Arabidopsis thaliana: one gene and its partners. The protein of the gene in region 3 interacts with the protein of the main gene of each other region in a pairwise test. Each region holds a gene or a part of one and is shown on either strand. Other genes may lie near its edges. The genes, in order: GONST5, AT5G25940 and AT5G24000.

Evidence for each region.
Region 1: the proteins of AT5G24000 (region 3) and GONST5 interact in a protein complementation assay, tested with the Arabidopsis thaliana proteins (one large-scale study listed by BioGRID).
Region 2: the proteins of AT5G24000 (region 3) and AT5G25940 interact in a protein complementation assay, tested with the Arabidopsis thaliana proteins (one large-scale study listed by BioGRID).

What each region holds. Positions count from the first base shown.
Region 1 is NC_003070.9:7,676,448-7,680,432, forward strand, and holds GONST5 (golgi nucleotide sugar transporter 5), read left to right. Parts: upstream 1-1,760; coding exon 1,761-1,874; intron 1,875-1,970; coding exon 1,971-2,220; intron 2,221-2,315; coding exon 2,316-2,523; intron 2,524-2,705; coding exon 2,706-2,937; intron 2,938-3,028; coding exon 3,029-3,250; 3' UTR 3,251-3,396; downstream 3,397-3,985. Other genes in the region: AT1G21866 (Plant thionin family protein), read left to right, coding at 1,052-1,333. UniProt on the Arabidopsis thaliana protein: GDP-mannose transporter that may be involved in the import of GDP-mannose from the cytoplasm into the Golgi lumen.
Region 2 is NC_003076.8:9,053,555-9,056,973, reverse strand, and holds AT5G25940 (early nodulin-like protein), read left to right. Parts: upstream 1-1,718; 5' UTR 1,719-1,822; coding exon 1,823-1,928; intron 1,929-2,012; coding exon 2,013-2,074; intron 2,075-2,331; coding exon 2,332-2,407; exon of another isoform or gene 2,408-2,618; coding exon 2,619-2,722; 3' UTR 2,723-2,852; downstream 2,853-3,419. Other genes in the region: AT5G25930 (kinase family with leucine-rich repeat domain-containing protein), read right to left, coding at 2,996-3,414.
Region 3 is NC_003076.8:8,109,583-8,114,775, reverse strand, and holds AT5G24000 (keratin-associated protein (DUF819)), read left to right. Parts: upstream 1-2,000; 5' UTR 2,001-2,083; coding exon 2,084-2,352; intron 2,353-2,421; coding exon 2,422-2,648; intron 2,649-2,830; coding exon 2,831-2,941; intron 2,942-3,170; coding exon 3,171-3,329; intron 3,330-3,660; coding exon 3,661-3,902; intron 3,903-4,072; coding exon 4,073-4,396; 3' UTR 4,397-4,591; downstream 4,592-5,193. Other genes in the region: AT5G24010 (Protein kinase superfamily protein), read right to left, coding at 1-866.

The DNA of each region.
Region 1 (3,985 bases), on a different chromosome or scaffold from region 3:
AAAACTGAAGATGTTAAACAAATATGGATTTTATTTTTAAAATAAATACTTTCAATCAAATTATATTAGTCTTGAATTTATAGATTTTATGAAAAAAAAGTTTATTGTGTTTTCATGGAGGAAAATGACGATAAAGACAATATGAAAGAAAATTATGTTTACAAATGTACATATTTACCTGGGAGGAGTCATATTAAATGATCTAATCCGCCTTAGTGTATTGTATGTATCTAGAACCTCTTACTTATTCATAAACAAAAGTACATATTTTCCTTACGTTTTCTTATAAACAAATGTACATAATTTCCTACTTATATATATATATATATGTATTCAACTCAAAAATTATAGACAAAACAAAAGGATTACGTATTCTTTTTGTTCCTGATGAATCTTTCACCATATTTAAGAAAAACTATAGGTTTGAAAGAAAGAATGTACCCCGATGATCGCCAAAATATTTAAATCACATGAAAAATAACAATGTGATTTAGTTAGGCATTGAGTTTTTAGGATACTTTTGGTGGAATTGTTATTTTTCATTTTTAAAAAAGGAAAGATTTTTAGTGTCCAATGATAAATTCAATGATCTTAAAAAATTATGTACAGTGAAAGGTAATCATTCCTTGTTAACGGTATGTATTCTTTACCATGTCATGTGCATATTACGATTTTCGTAACAAAAACGTGGTCACGAATTTTAAGAAGAAAATGCCACTAAGATATGTGTTGTACAGGCTAATATTTTAAATATGAGCAATTAGTGTTACTATATTTATGCATAGCATGCAAATAGTTGTTTAGATGACCAAAACAGTATAATACATATAAGTTGTCCAGAAATCAATCGATATATTTGCCAAGAAAAAGAAACGAAAACAAGTTGACCTCCTAATAGTTAGTTACTTCTAAAATCAGCTAAAACTATTTTTACTATATAATCAACACAACATTCTCACCAAATCATCTTGTTTCAAAACCACAACAAAAAGAAAAAAGAAAGAAAAAAAACATTACAATTTAAGATTTTCAGACTCACAATACTTACGACATGGCAACTCAAGTGTCAAAGAAAATCTGCAGTGTATTGATGATTGTAATTTTATTTGCAATGATGTTTTCAGCTCATTCCAACTCGATAGATGTGTGTGTCAAAAATTGTGTCGTGAACCAGTGCATGAAAGCATCAAAGAAAGCGACTCCAGCCATATGTGCCAACCCTTGCAAGATTATATGTGATCCTCTCAACAACGAGCGATACATCGTCCCTCGAGGTAATGGTGGTCCTATAAAAAGGTTCTGCAGAGCATTTAGCTGGATTTGTACCGCTTAATTGATCCACATTACAAAAAATTTGTCTCCTTTCTCTATGCATAAGTTATATATTTATGATTTTTTGTATCAATGTATCGATCAATATTTCAAGTATTTATGTATCCTTCTTCCATAATTTTTTATCTTTAACAATATTTACTTGTATACGGAAAATTTGTTAAAAATCTAATTATTTATATTTATATATGTAACAACTGAAAATTGGTAACTTGTATAAGCATAATTTATGCTGCATAAACATATTTGCATTTAACTACACGGAAACTTACTAAAGAGAAAAAGAGAATTCTCGCATATAAAACAGAACCGTTACTCTGTTTCTCTTGGCGCTTTAATTAGGGTTTCTTATTTAGCTTTTGCATTGCCACATTCCTAAAGGTTTCATCTTTTGGATCCTTCTCTGACTCACTTCTTAAAACCCATCAATGGAGGAAGGAAGTCTGTGGCGTCAATGGACTATGTTCAGATCTCTGTTATCGATTCTTCAATGGTGGGGTTTTAACGTTACTGTTATCATCATGAACAAATGGATCTTTCAGGTTTAAAAAGTCTCTTACTTTTATCATTAAAGACTTAGCCTTTCGTTTGTTTTATCTGATCTGCGTTTGAAATTTGGTACCTTTCCTTGTTTGCAGAAACTGGATTTCAAGTTTCCATTATCAGTTTCATGTGTTCATTTCATATGTTCGTCGATTGGAGCATACATTGTGATTAAAGTCTTAAAGCTTAAACCTTTGATTGTGGTTGATCCAGAAGATAGGTGGAGGAGGATTTTTCCAATGTCATTTGTGTTCTGTATCAACATTGTGTTGGGGAATATTAGTCTTAGATACATTCCTGTCTCTTTTATGCAGACTATCAAATCTTTAACTCCTGCAACAACAGGTTTAGGGTTTTTTTAAGATTGAGAATTTTTCAAAATAAAGTGATTTTTTTTTATTGTTCTGATTGGTTTTTGTGTAATGGTTTTTTGAGTGCAGTTGTGTTACAGTGGTTGGTATGGAGGAAATATTTTGATTGGCGTATTTGGGCGTCATTGGTGCCTATTGTTGGAGGGATTCTTCTTACTTCTATTACAGAACTTAGCTTTAATGTGTTTGGATTCTGTGCTGCTTTGTTTGGATGTTTAGCTACCTCTACAAAGACCATTCTTGCAGAATCTCTTCTTCATGGATACAAATTTGACAGGTCAATGTTCTGTTTCCTGAGGTTTTGATCTTCAGTTTCACATGATAGGTGTTGAATGTGTGAAACTTACATTTGGTTTCAATGACATGCCATGCTCTCATAGTCCAATACTTGATTTGCTTTTTCATATTTCATGGAACTGAGTGTTTGTGTCCTCCTCATTTTCATGTCTCTCTATGTAGCATAAACACGGTATACTATATGGCGCCTTTCGCGACCATGATTCTCGGGTTACCTGCATTTTTACTAGAAAGGAATGGAATTTTGGATTGGTTTGAAGCACATCCATCTCCATGGTCGGCTCTCATAATTCTTTTCAACTCAGGTGTTCTAGCTTTCTGTCTTAACTTCTCCATCTTCTATGTCATTCAATCCACAACAGCAGTCACATTCAATGTAGCTGGAAACCTTAAGGTAAATGAACAAATCCCAAACCACATAACATTAATCTTTATATTCTAGTTTCAATAACTCAGATGTTTGATGGATGGTATGTGATTTGCAGGTTGCAGTAGCTGTGTTTGTTTCATGGATGATATTTCGAAACCCGATATCACCGATGAATGCTGTTGGCTGCGGAATCACACTTGTGGGCTGCACCTTTTACGGATATGTAAGACACATGCTTTCTCAGCAACAACCCGGAACTCCTAGGACTCCTCGTACCCCAAGGAACAAGATGGAACTGATCCCTCTTGTTAATGATAAACTCGAGAGTAAAATTTGAATATCATCGGTAAGTCACTAGACTATTGAACGCACACAAAGAAGTTAGATTTGATCTTGAACATCCACAAGAGAGTTATAGTTTAACTATATGTTTATTTTTACTCAAACTAGAGAAGTTAGAGAAGTGCCATTTTATTTGTTTCCATTGTATTAAATTATCTATCCTCATCAAACCAACTCAGAGATGACCACAAAGATACTTAAAGCAGGCCCATTTTTGTATTCAATTATGGTAGTGCTTTCACTTACCTCAGCTTTTTAATTTTTCCTTCCAATTTTGTTTGTGCCATAGTGCCATGTTCTAACATCAGAGACTTAATACATGACAAAATGGTGCAAGTTTGGGAATCTTTGAAAGAAGATGAAAATAGAAAGTTAATTTGACAATATATAAGAAATGATTATTCATTTTCCCGCCTTGATACATGAAAGAGCTTAAGACGGTGTTTAAGGGAAACGAATATTTTAGCTCTCAAAACAGCTCATCAAATTCGTTGCTTTAGCTTCTCAAAAGTAAAAAATGGGCTTTTTCAAGTGGGCCTCAACTTATGTTGCTGAATTTACCGCCATATCCTTCCCTTACAAAAAATCAATTTTCAAAAAATCTTCATGCTACAGTAGTCTGAAACCAGGTCAAAGGAGTTAAAGAGAAAAGGGCAAAACAGTCAAACAGCATAAAAAGATGTCTGTGTCTTGGAGATCGCAAAGCTACCGTTTTCTGTTCACTCTGTAC
Region 2 (3,419 bases), 940 kb from region 3:
TAGTAGGAAAAATGTAATTAAGGATCCAAAATAATAATATTTATATTTTATTTGCAACCGAAAATTTTATAGACAACTCGCATTGAAAATGTTCTCAACTTGTTTTTATAGGAGGCAATACTTCTTGCGGTAGGGTTCAATTATATTGGTGCTCAATCAGGGAATTGTCCGATGCCATTTTCCAGTGGAATTTGATAGAAAATTTAAAATTAAGCATCAAAAAGTTGTCTGATGGCATTCATCGGAGTTGTCTTGAATCACCATTTTTCCGTTTCATCTCCTAACGTCTGTTTTTCACTTAAAAAGTCTCCAATTCCAGTATAACTTCGTAAAACTTGTACAAAACAACCGAAAAATACATTAAAAACGAACAAAAATGTGACAAACAACTCAAAACAAACACTAGACAAAGGACATAAGACACTAAAAACACAATATACCACATACAATTTTGGAGACACCCGCACACCGCTCTTCACCTCTTGGACTGTCAGTAACATTATGACATGACTATAGACATTACATTCACTTTCATGAAATTTACAACTACTCTTTGGATTTGGGTTGCAGAAAGATGCATACAGTAAAACAGCTCCATCAACCTCTTATGCTCATGTTTCATGCACATAAGTACTCAATTAGCCATAGGTGGAAGCTTAGACCCTGTTTCGACTTTCGAGTAGCTCGGATATATATGCATTATATCACATATCCCTTAGCACCATATTTTCTAATTTAATTTACAATATCACTCATTGCCACAAGTGTATAAAAACCATAGCAATAGAAGGGTATCAAAGTTCAAGTAACCAATTAAATTAGAACACTAGAAATACATTCTATCATCCAATCTAAGCAATCAAGTTAAATCATTAGAACAATATTGAACTACCGCCGAAGTAAGATCTCGTCTACCGGAGATATTGTCAGATTCTTGCCTCCGTTTTGTATTTGTTGTTTTGATTTGTAAAACTTTGGCTCAAGTCCAATTCAGGTATTATAATATTTTTAAAAAAAGAATATTGAACTATTAATAAAATCTTAACATTTTCTGTTGGTCCCTAGTACTTTTGATGGGCTCTCTATATCTTCGCTTTTGTATGTTTGAAGCATTAAGGCCGAATTCATTTAAAACTCAACTTCTATACCAAAAATTTTATTTTAAATTTTATGTAATTAAAATAAACTAACCAATTTTTTAAAAATTACTATTTTAATCACATATAAAATTAAGTTTTAATTTATCTTTCTATACAAAAATATCATCATTAATGAAATTAACTAATTTATTATATTTTTTTAATCATTTTTTCACTTATAAATTTTATCTAAAACTGAATCGATTAATTTCTTATATCTCTAAAGATATCCGTATGGTAACAAAATTGACTCCAAACATTTCTTAAGTCGATTTCTAAAACCGCTCCAAAAGACCATTGTGCATTAAAAATACTAAAAATCTAAAATTTAAAATATTCTCAATAACAAACATTTACGAACCACTGAATTTTATTTTATTTTAAAAATAATCTATAACATAATAATTGTTTTATCTGTTTTCTAACACAAATTATTCTAAATACATGATTGAAATACATTTCTAAATTGGCGTTTTATAGACTATAGTATTTTGACAACTTTGTTTTCAATATTGGCGTTTCATTATTTTGGTGAAAGATTCCCAACTTATAAAAAAAAAAAACGAATTTTTAATTTTCGTCCTAATCATTTATTTCCTAACCAAAGAAAAAGGCAAATCGCGACCCGTCTCTCTCTCTCTCTCTCTCCTTGAAATCGAAAGATCAAAAAAGCGACACTGAAAATGGAAAATCGGTCAGAAATGGGTAACCGGAGGCAGCAGAATCTCTTCGTCATAGCTTCTCCCGACGAGATTGCTAAGATCCATCGAGCCGAAACTTCCAAACAAGGTCTCTTCTTCTTTCTCCGTCTCTCTCTCTCTTTTTTCCCCTAAAAAAAATCTTTTAAATTGATGACTTTGGATTATGTTACAGCCGGAGCTATTGCCGGAGCTAAGGCCGCCGCCGTTGCCGCCGTCGCCAGTGCGATTCCCACAGTAATCATATAATCTCACTTATCTAAATTTTTTAAATTGAGATCTTAAATGAATTAAATGTAAGAGTTATGTTTCTTTGTTGTTGAATTTTAAGACAAAAGTGACTCACCAATCTCATGTTCTGTAATAATCAAGAGTTTCAATTTTGTTACCTATTCATTTTGTGATTTCTGAATACACCAAGTAGAGTCACATTCTTTTTGATGTGTATATAAGATATGAATTTGGTACATAAGCATGCCTTGTTTTCGTAACAGGTAGCTGCCGTTCGTATGTTCCCGTGGGCTAAGGCAAACCTCAACTACACTGCTCAAGCACTCATTATTTCTTCAGGTTAGCTCTATCAGCAATATGCCTTAAATCATTACTATATGTTCTTCCTGGAACTAAGTAGAAAAAAGATACTAGCTTTAACATTGTTGTAGAAACCTCGAACTTCCCTTTTGAACCTAGTTGAGTTTGGGGTTTTTAAGTATTCGTACATTCATTTCTCCACAATTTTCTTCTGATTTCTATCTTGTGATTATGGTGATCATTGGAACAGCTTCTATCGCTGCGTTCTTCATAACCGCGGATAAAACGATTCTACAAGGCGCAAGAAGAAACACCGAGGCTCAGTTAAAGAAAGTTCAGCAAGACTCTAAATAATTTCTCTTCTTATTGTAACACAAATCAATCATCATCTTTCTCTGTTTTGTATGCATATTTTGCCTTGATTCTTAATAAGAGTGTTATTATTATAAGGAATAACAAATTCTTTAAGACCATTTTTTATTCAGACTTTCAGATTTTGTTCTCAAATAAGTTACAAGCTGGTAGTTATACTCTTAACTAAAACTTTGCTTACACAAAAACTAAATGGTTTCTAATACATTTGTACATTTCACAAAAAAAACAACATCAAGTGTTGTGATTATTTGATTATACAAAACCTAAATCTTCATCTTCTACCCTTTTACTTGTCCTTCGACCCGATAAACTAACTAGTAGAGGTGCCTCATATGCCTCTGTTGCAGTCTTCTTCGTCGCCTCAAGTCCTTGTTGGCGCAGAACATACAAGACCTCTTTCATGGAAGGTCTATGACTAGGCAATGTGTTAGTACACATGAGACCTAGCTTGAAAACTGTTGTCATCGCCTCAGTCGTGGAAGCTTCTTTGATGTCCTCATCAAACGCCTCTGCGGTCGGTTTTCCAGATTGGTAATGTTTCCATGACCAATCTGCTAAGTTTGTGTGTTCATCTCCGTTGTTTCCTTCTCTTCCAGTCACCAGCTCTAGCAAAACTACCCCGAAGCTGTACACATCGATCTTCTCATCTACCTTTGACGTATATGCGTATTCTGCA
Region 3 (5,193 bases):
CTTGCCTGCAACTCCTGATTATCTCGATCCATCTCCTGAGCAGTCATATAAACATTATCCGGAGCAATCTCTCTCGTGGCACCACCGTTTTGATAATTCGGAGAATGAGTAGTCCAAGCACGTCTAGCAGCAGCTCTCAAGAGAAGATAGTTGTCATCAACAACCCAAGTCCTCCACAACGTATCATTAAACGGCGTCAATTTCGAACCACCAACGTTGATTCTATGAACAGTCTCAAGAACTTGAGATGACAAGTTACTAAAGATTTGAGCAGAGTTAGGAATCACAAGCTTCGTTCCTTGATCCATTATATAATCCTTAGGTGCTGAAAACACTTCAACCGCATTAACAAACCCAAATCCAGAAGCTTTAAAGGGCAAAAACGAAATCTCTAAAACAGGGTCATCGATTTTGAGTATGAATTCTTTAACAACGACGGAGCTAGTACTGAAACTGTTAATCACAGAGAACCCATTAATCAAAACTCGAAATTTAGCAGACCTTAAGTTAAATCTCGAAGCTTTAAAAGGCGCGAAATGGAGACGGATAAAGTGAGTGCCTTTGGTAGTGACTTGGAATTTGTATGATCCTCCGACGGGGAAAACACGAGCTGTGTTGTACAAAACGGGTGAATCTGGAGATGGGTTCGTGTCAGAAATCGAGATGGATCGATCGGTGGAGAGAAAACTCGAGCCAGGTTCTGAAGAGTCGCTGAGAAAAGAACGGGTTGTGAAGAAAGATGTATTGGTGTTAGAACCGGAATTGATGAGATAATTATCAGTTGGAGTGAAAGCAGCGAAAGAGAGATGAAGAAGAGGGCAGAAGAAGAAGAGAAGGGTTTGGGTTAGATTTATTGGAAACGCCATTAGAGTGAAGCTTTTTTGGGGAAGGTTTGAGAAAGGTTTTGGTTTGATGATATTAAAGAGAAGAAGAGATGGAGAAACTAGAAAGTGGGTTTTTGCTGTCACTTCTCTGTATTCGTATTTTTTTCCCACTAAAGGTAAGTGAAAGAGAAAGTGTTTGTGAAATCATTAGGCAGCGAAGTTTGTCAACAGCAATGGGAAACCAAAGGAAGCTTAAACCTGATTTTGTTTGTGATTCGGTGGCAATCATTTTCAAAAAGTTTTGCTTTCTATTAAATATAGTTGATTTTCACTGATTTGGTAATTCTTAGTTAATCATTTGTGTACGCTATGAGTAGGGATGTTTGATTCATTTTTGAATTAGATAGAAACAGTTTTGAGATATAATTTGTGGTGTTACGGATTAACTCATCGTAGGTGGTGTGATTATTATGGTATTAATTGCGTAACTAACAAGGTTTGGACCGACACATTATTACAAAAAATAAATTAATTAGTGTATTGTAGGCAAGGTTTAATATTTCACTCATTAATTCCAATAGACCTAAACGATACTAATTTAATAATTAGAAGGAAATATAAGGAAGCATCTGTCACCAAATTAGAAGTACTCTTCTTCTTCTTTTTTTCTTCTTTTTTCTGAGTGTATGTAAAATTTTATTCATACAACAAACCTTGTTATAGTGAATGCATCCTTTTTAAAAAAGTTATAGAAAAAAAATTAGAAGTACTCTTTTTATGGGCATCCATGATCCATCATTTTATCAAAGTCTAGATTAACTTCTTTTTCTTGATAAACAAGAAGACAATAAAATACATGAAAACACTAAAAAGAAGAGAATTCCACCAAACGAAGCTAATCATAATTTTTTTTTACTATTTTTCTTTTTTCATACTATTCATTATATTTTCTTCTTATATATTTCGTCTTCCTATGTTATGTTACTTTCTTTATCGATTTTATTTATTTCTTATTTGTTATTTTTTTCGTATCAAGAAATAGATTACAAAAATAGAAAATAGAGTAAAGTTTTAGAAAAAAAATATTGTTAAATTTTATTTTAAACTTTTATCATATTCATTATGTGGTATATTAATATGCTTCTCGTCAATTTGATATCTCAATAAATTTGTTTAGCCGAATAAGGAAACAAAAAAAATAAGTTTCCAAAAGTATAATATGGGACTTCAAACATTAATTGGTGTATCTAAAAAGTGCAATGGCTCTTCTATTCACAGTGGTATCACCAAATCCACTGTCCCCCACAATCTCATCGCTCCACGTGTCTCCTTCCCGCCACCACTTATCATCATCAATAACCATACGCCGTAACAAATCGCCGCCGGTAACACTCACTCCACATCGTCTTGTTTCATCTCGACGCCGGCGCGTGAAGGTCTACTCACAACTACGATTCCCTCTAATCTCCCCAGACGATCACTGGTCACAATGGGCTGCTCTCTTCGCCGCCGGAGCTTTCGGTGTCTGGTAAATCACCTCAATCCTCTCTGTTGAAACTAGGGTTTTGTATACTGATGAAATTACCGACTTCATTAGGTCGGAGAAGACGAAAATTGGAAGTATGGTGAGTGGTGCGTTGACAAGTACGTTACTTGGGCTCGCCGCTAGCAATTTAAGGTTAATTCCGTTTGAAACGCCGTCGTATGGCTTCTTCATGGAGTTTCTCTTGCCGCATACGATTCCATTGTTGTTGTTTAGAGCTGATCTCCGTCGTATTATCCGATCTACTGGATCATTGCTTCTTGCATTCTTAATTGGATCTGGTAAAGATTTAGTCTTTTGCTTAAAGGCAAGTTTTTGGATTGGGATTAGTTTGGATTCATGCTTAAGACTAACAAAAGTTTATGTCTTTGAGTGGTTTTAGTTAAAAAGATTGATTGTGAAGTGACATTGTTATTGATGATGTGTTGAGTGGTTTATTAATTTGTGAGTTGGTTTGTTGTAGTTGCGACGATTGTTGGAACAGTGGTGGCTTTTATGTTGGTACCGATGAGATCGCTTGGTCCGGATAACTGGAAAATAGCAGCTGCTCTTATGGGGAGTTACATTGGTGGATGTAAGTTTGTCTGGAGCCCCTTCATTGCTTCTTTGGCTTGTTTACAGACAGAGGTACTCAATGTTTATCTTCTTTAGCCGAAAAGATTCTAGCTTTGCTTGATTTTCGTTTATCGAAAAAAGAGGAAAATCTTGCTAAATTGGCTTGTAAGATGTTTATCACAACTTGGGAATGGATTCTTCAAGAGGAATGAGAATAAAATTGTTGGTTCTTGTTTTTTGTTCTGCAGCCCTTAATTTTGTTGCGATATCGGAGGCTCTACAGATATCTCCATCTGTTATAGCAGCGGGTGTAGCTGTGGATAATGTCATATGTGCTCTTCACTTCATGGTTTTGTTTGCGTTGGCCTCAAAGATACCCCCTGAGACCGCCTCAGCATCTTCCCCTGGTAAACTTCCATCTTGATCACATTTTGTATATATAAGGTATGTAAGTATGTTGCAATGTGAGAGGATTACTAAAGAACTTATGGCGAATAGTCGGACCAACTAAGGATTTGGTGACTCTAGGGCTACTTGGTTAGTTGTCAAATTGATTTGAGTGAATGTTGGTAAAGATAGTTATTATTAATACATATAATGTGCCTATCAAATTAAGACTTGATAATAAGTTTTCAATACTTTTGAGTTTTGACATTATTACATAACGTTTCTCATCTTCTAACTGCATTTGCATCCACATATAAACACTACTATTCAAGTTTTTGTGATCTTTGGCAGATGCTGACATGACTAAGGATGACAAGCTCGAGGACAAGAACAGAGTGGTTTCAACTTCAATTGCACTATCAGTTTCCTTCCTGATATGCAAAGCTGCAATTACGTTGACGACGCTATTTAAGATACAAGGAGTTATGCTTCCTGCAGTAACAGCCATCACCATTGTCTTGGCAACATCCTTCCCTGATTTCTTCAACTCTCTGGCACCTTCTGCTGAAACCATCTCTCTCATTCTCATGCAGGTATCTCTTTCTTTACACTTTATCCATTATTTAGAACCAATTAGACATGTCATTGGCAAAATGGGCTATGTCTGACCCGTTTTGAGCCCTTATTCTCATTGTTAAAGCCCATCCCTGATTAAGCCCGAGGACTTCAGACCATGGTTTGTTTTTGAATCTTTTTTGTTCAGGTATTTTTCACAATTCTAGGAGCCACAGGGAGTGTATGGAATGTAATCAACACTGCCCCAAGTATCTTCTTATTTGCTGCTATTCAAGTAATGGTTCATCTAGCAGTGACTTTGGTTCTAGGAAAACTATTCTGTATCGACATGAAGCTATTACTTCTTGCATCAAATGCTAACATCGGAGGCCCAACCACTGCGTGTGCCATGGCAACCGCAAAAGGATGGACTTCTCTTGTCGTCCCCGGGATTCTCTCTGGTGTTTTTGGGGTCTCCATAGCAACTTTTCTAGGCATTGGATGTGGAGTTTTTGTCCTCAAACGATTATAGATTTCTAAACAGTTCTAATGATTGGAGGATTCTGAAGCTAGACTTCTTGTAAATTGCTAATTGTTCTCAACAAATTTTAAATCTTTTTGTTTTCCAAATTATCAGTGTTTTCATACAAAACAAGCATTTATCTCATAAACAATAACCATTTTACATTGGTTTGCGAGCTTTACTTGTTCAAATATAAAATAAAATTTGTCTGTAGATTTTTTTTTAGTTGACTAATACTAATATACATCTAGTGGTACGGTTGATTGTACTATTGTACCGCTCTTTCAATACAAGTCAACCGTACTTGAGATCGTAATTTAAAAGTCAACTGTACTTTCCCATATCAATCTCAAAAGTCAACTCTACCATATTAATAAGATTCTATTGATTCCAAATATTTTGTAACCAAAAGTAGTGCTAGATTCATCCTTCTTTGTTTGATTTATCCTATGAAACTTAGATTAGCATGGTTGGAAATTTATGCGTTTACTTGCAACTTTCGATTCCAAAAACAAAATATGCAATGTACCTATCACATGCATGACTTAGATTTGAGGTCCGAACAAAGTCTTTAGTATGTGTTCGACACACCTGCTCTTTCCATAATATTGATATGGAGAGCCCAATTTAGCCAATAAAAGACATGGATAGTGTAATATGATATTTTTTTAATGCGGAGATAAAGTATATATTAGCTAAGAATAAGTAAAGATGTAGTACAACAAGTACCAATTTGTAAATGCATGAATCATGCCTTATAGAATGTTCTCAAATCTCATTATCTCAACTCTCTACGCACGAAACCC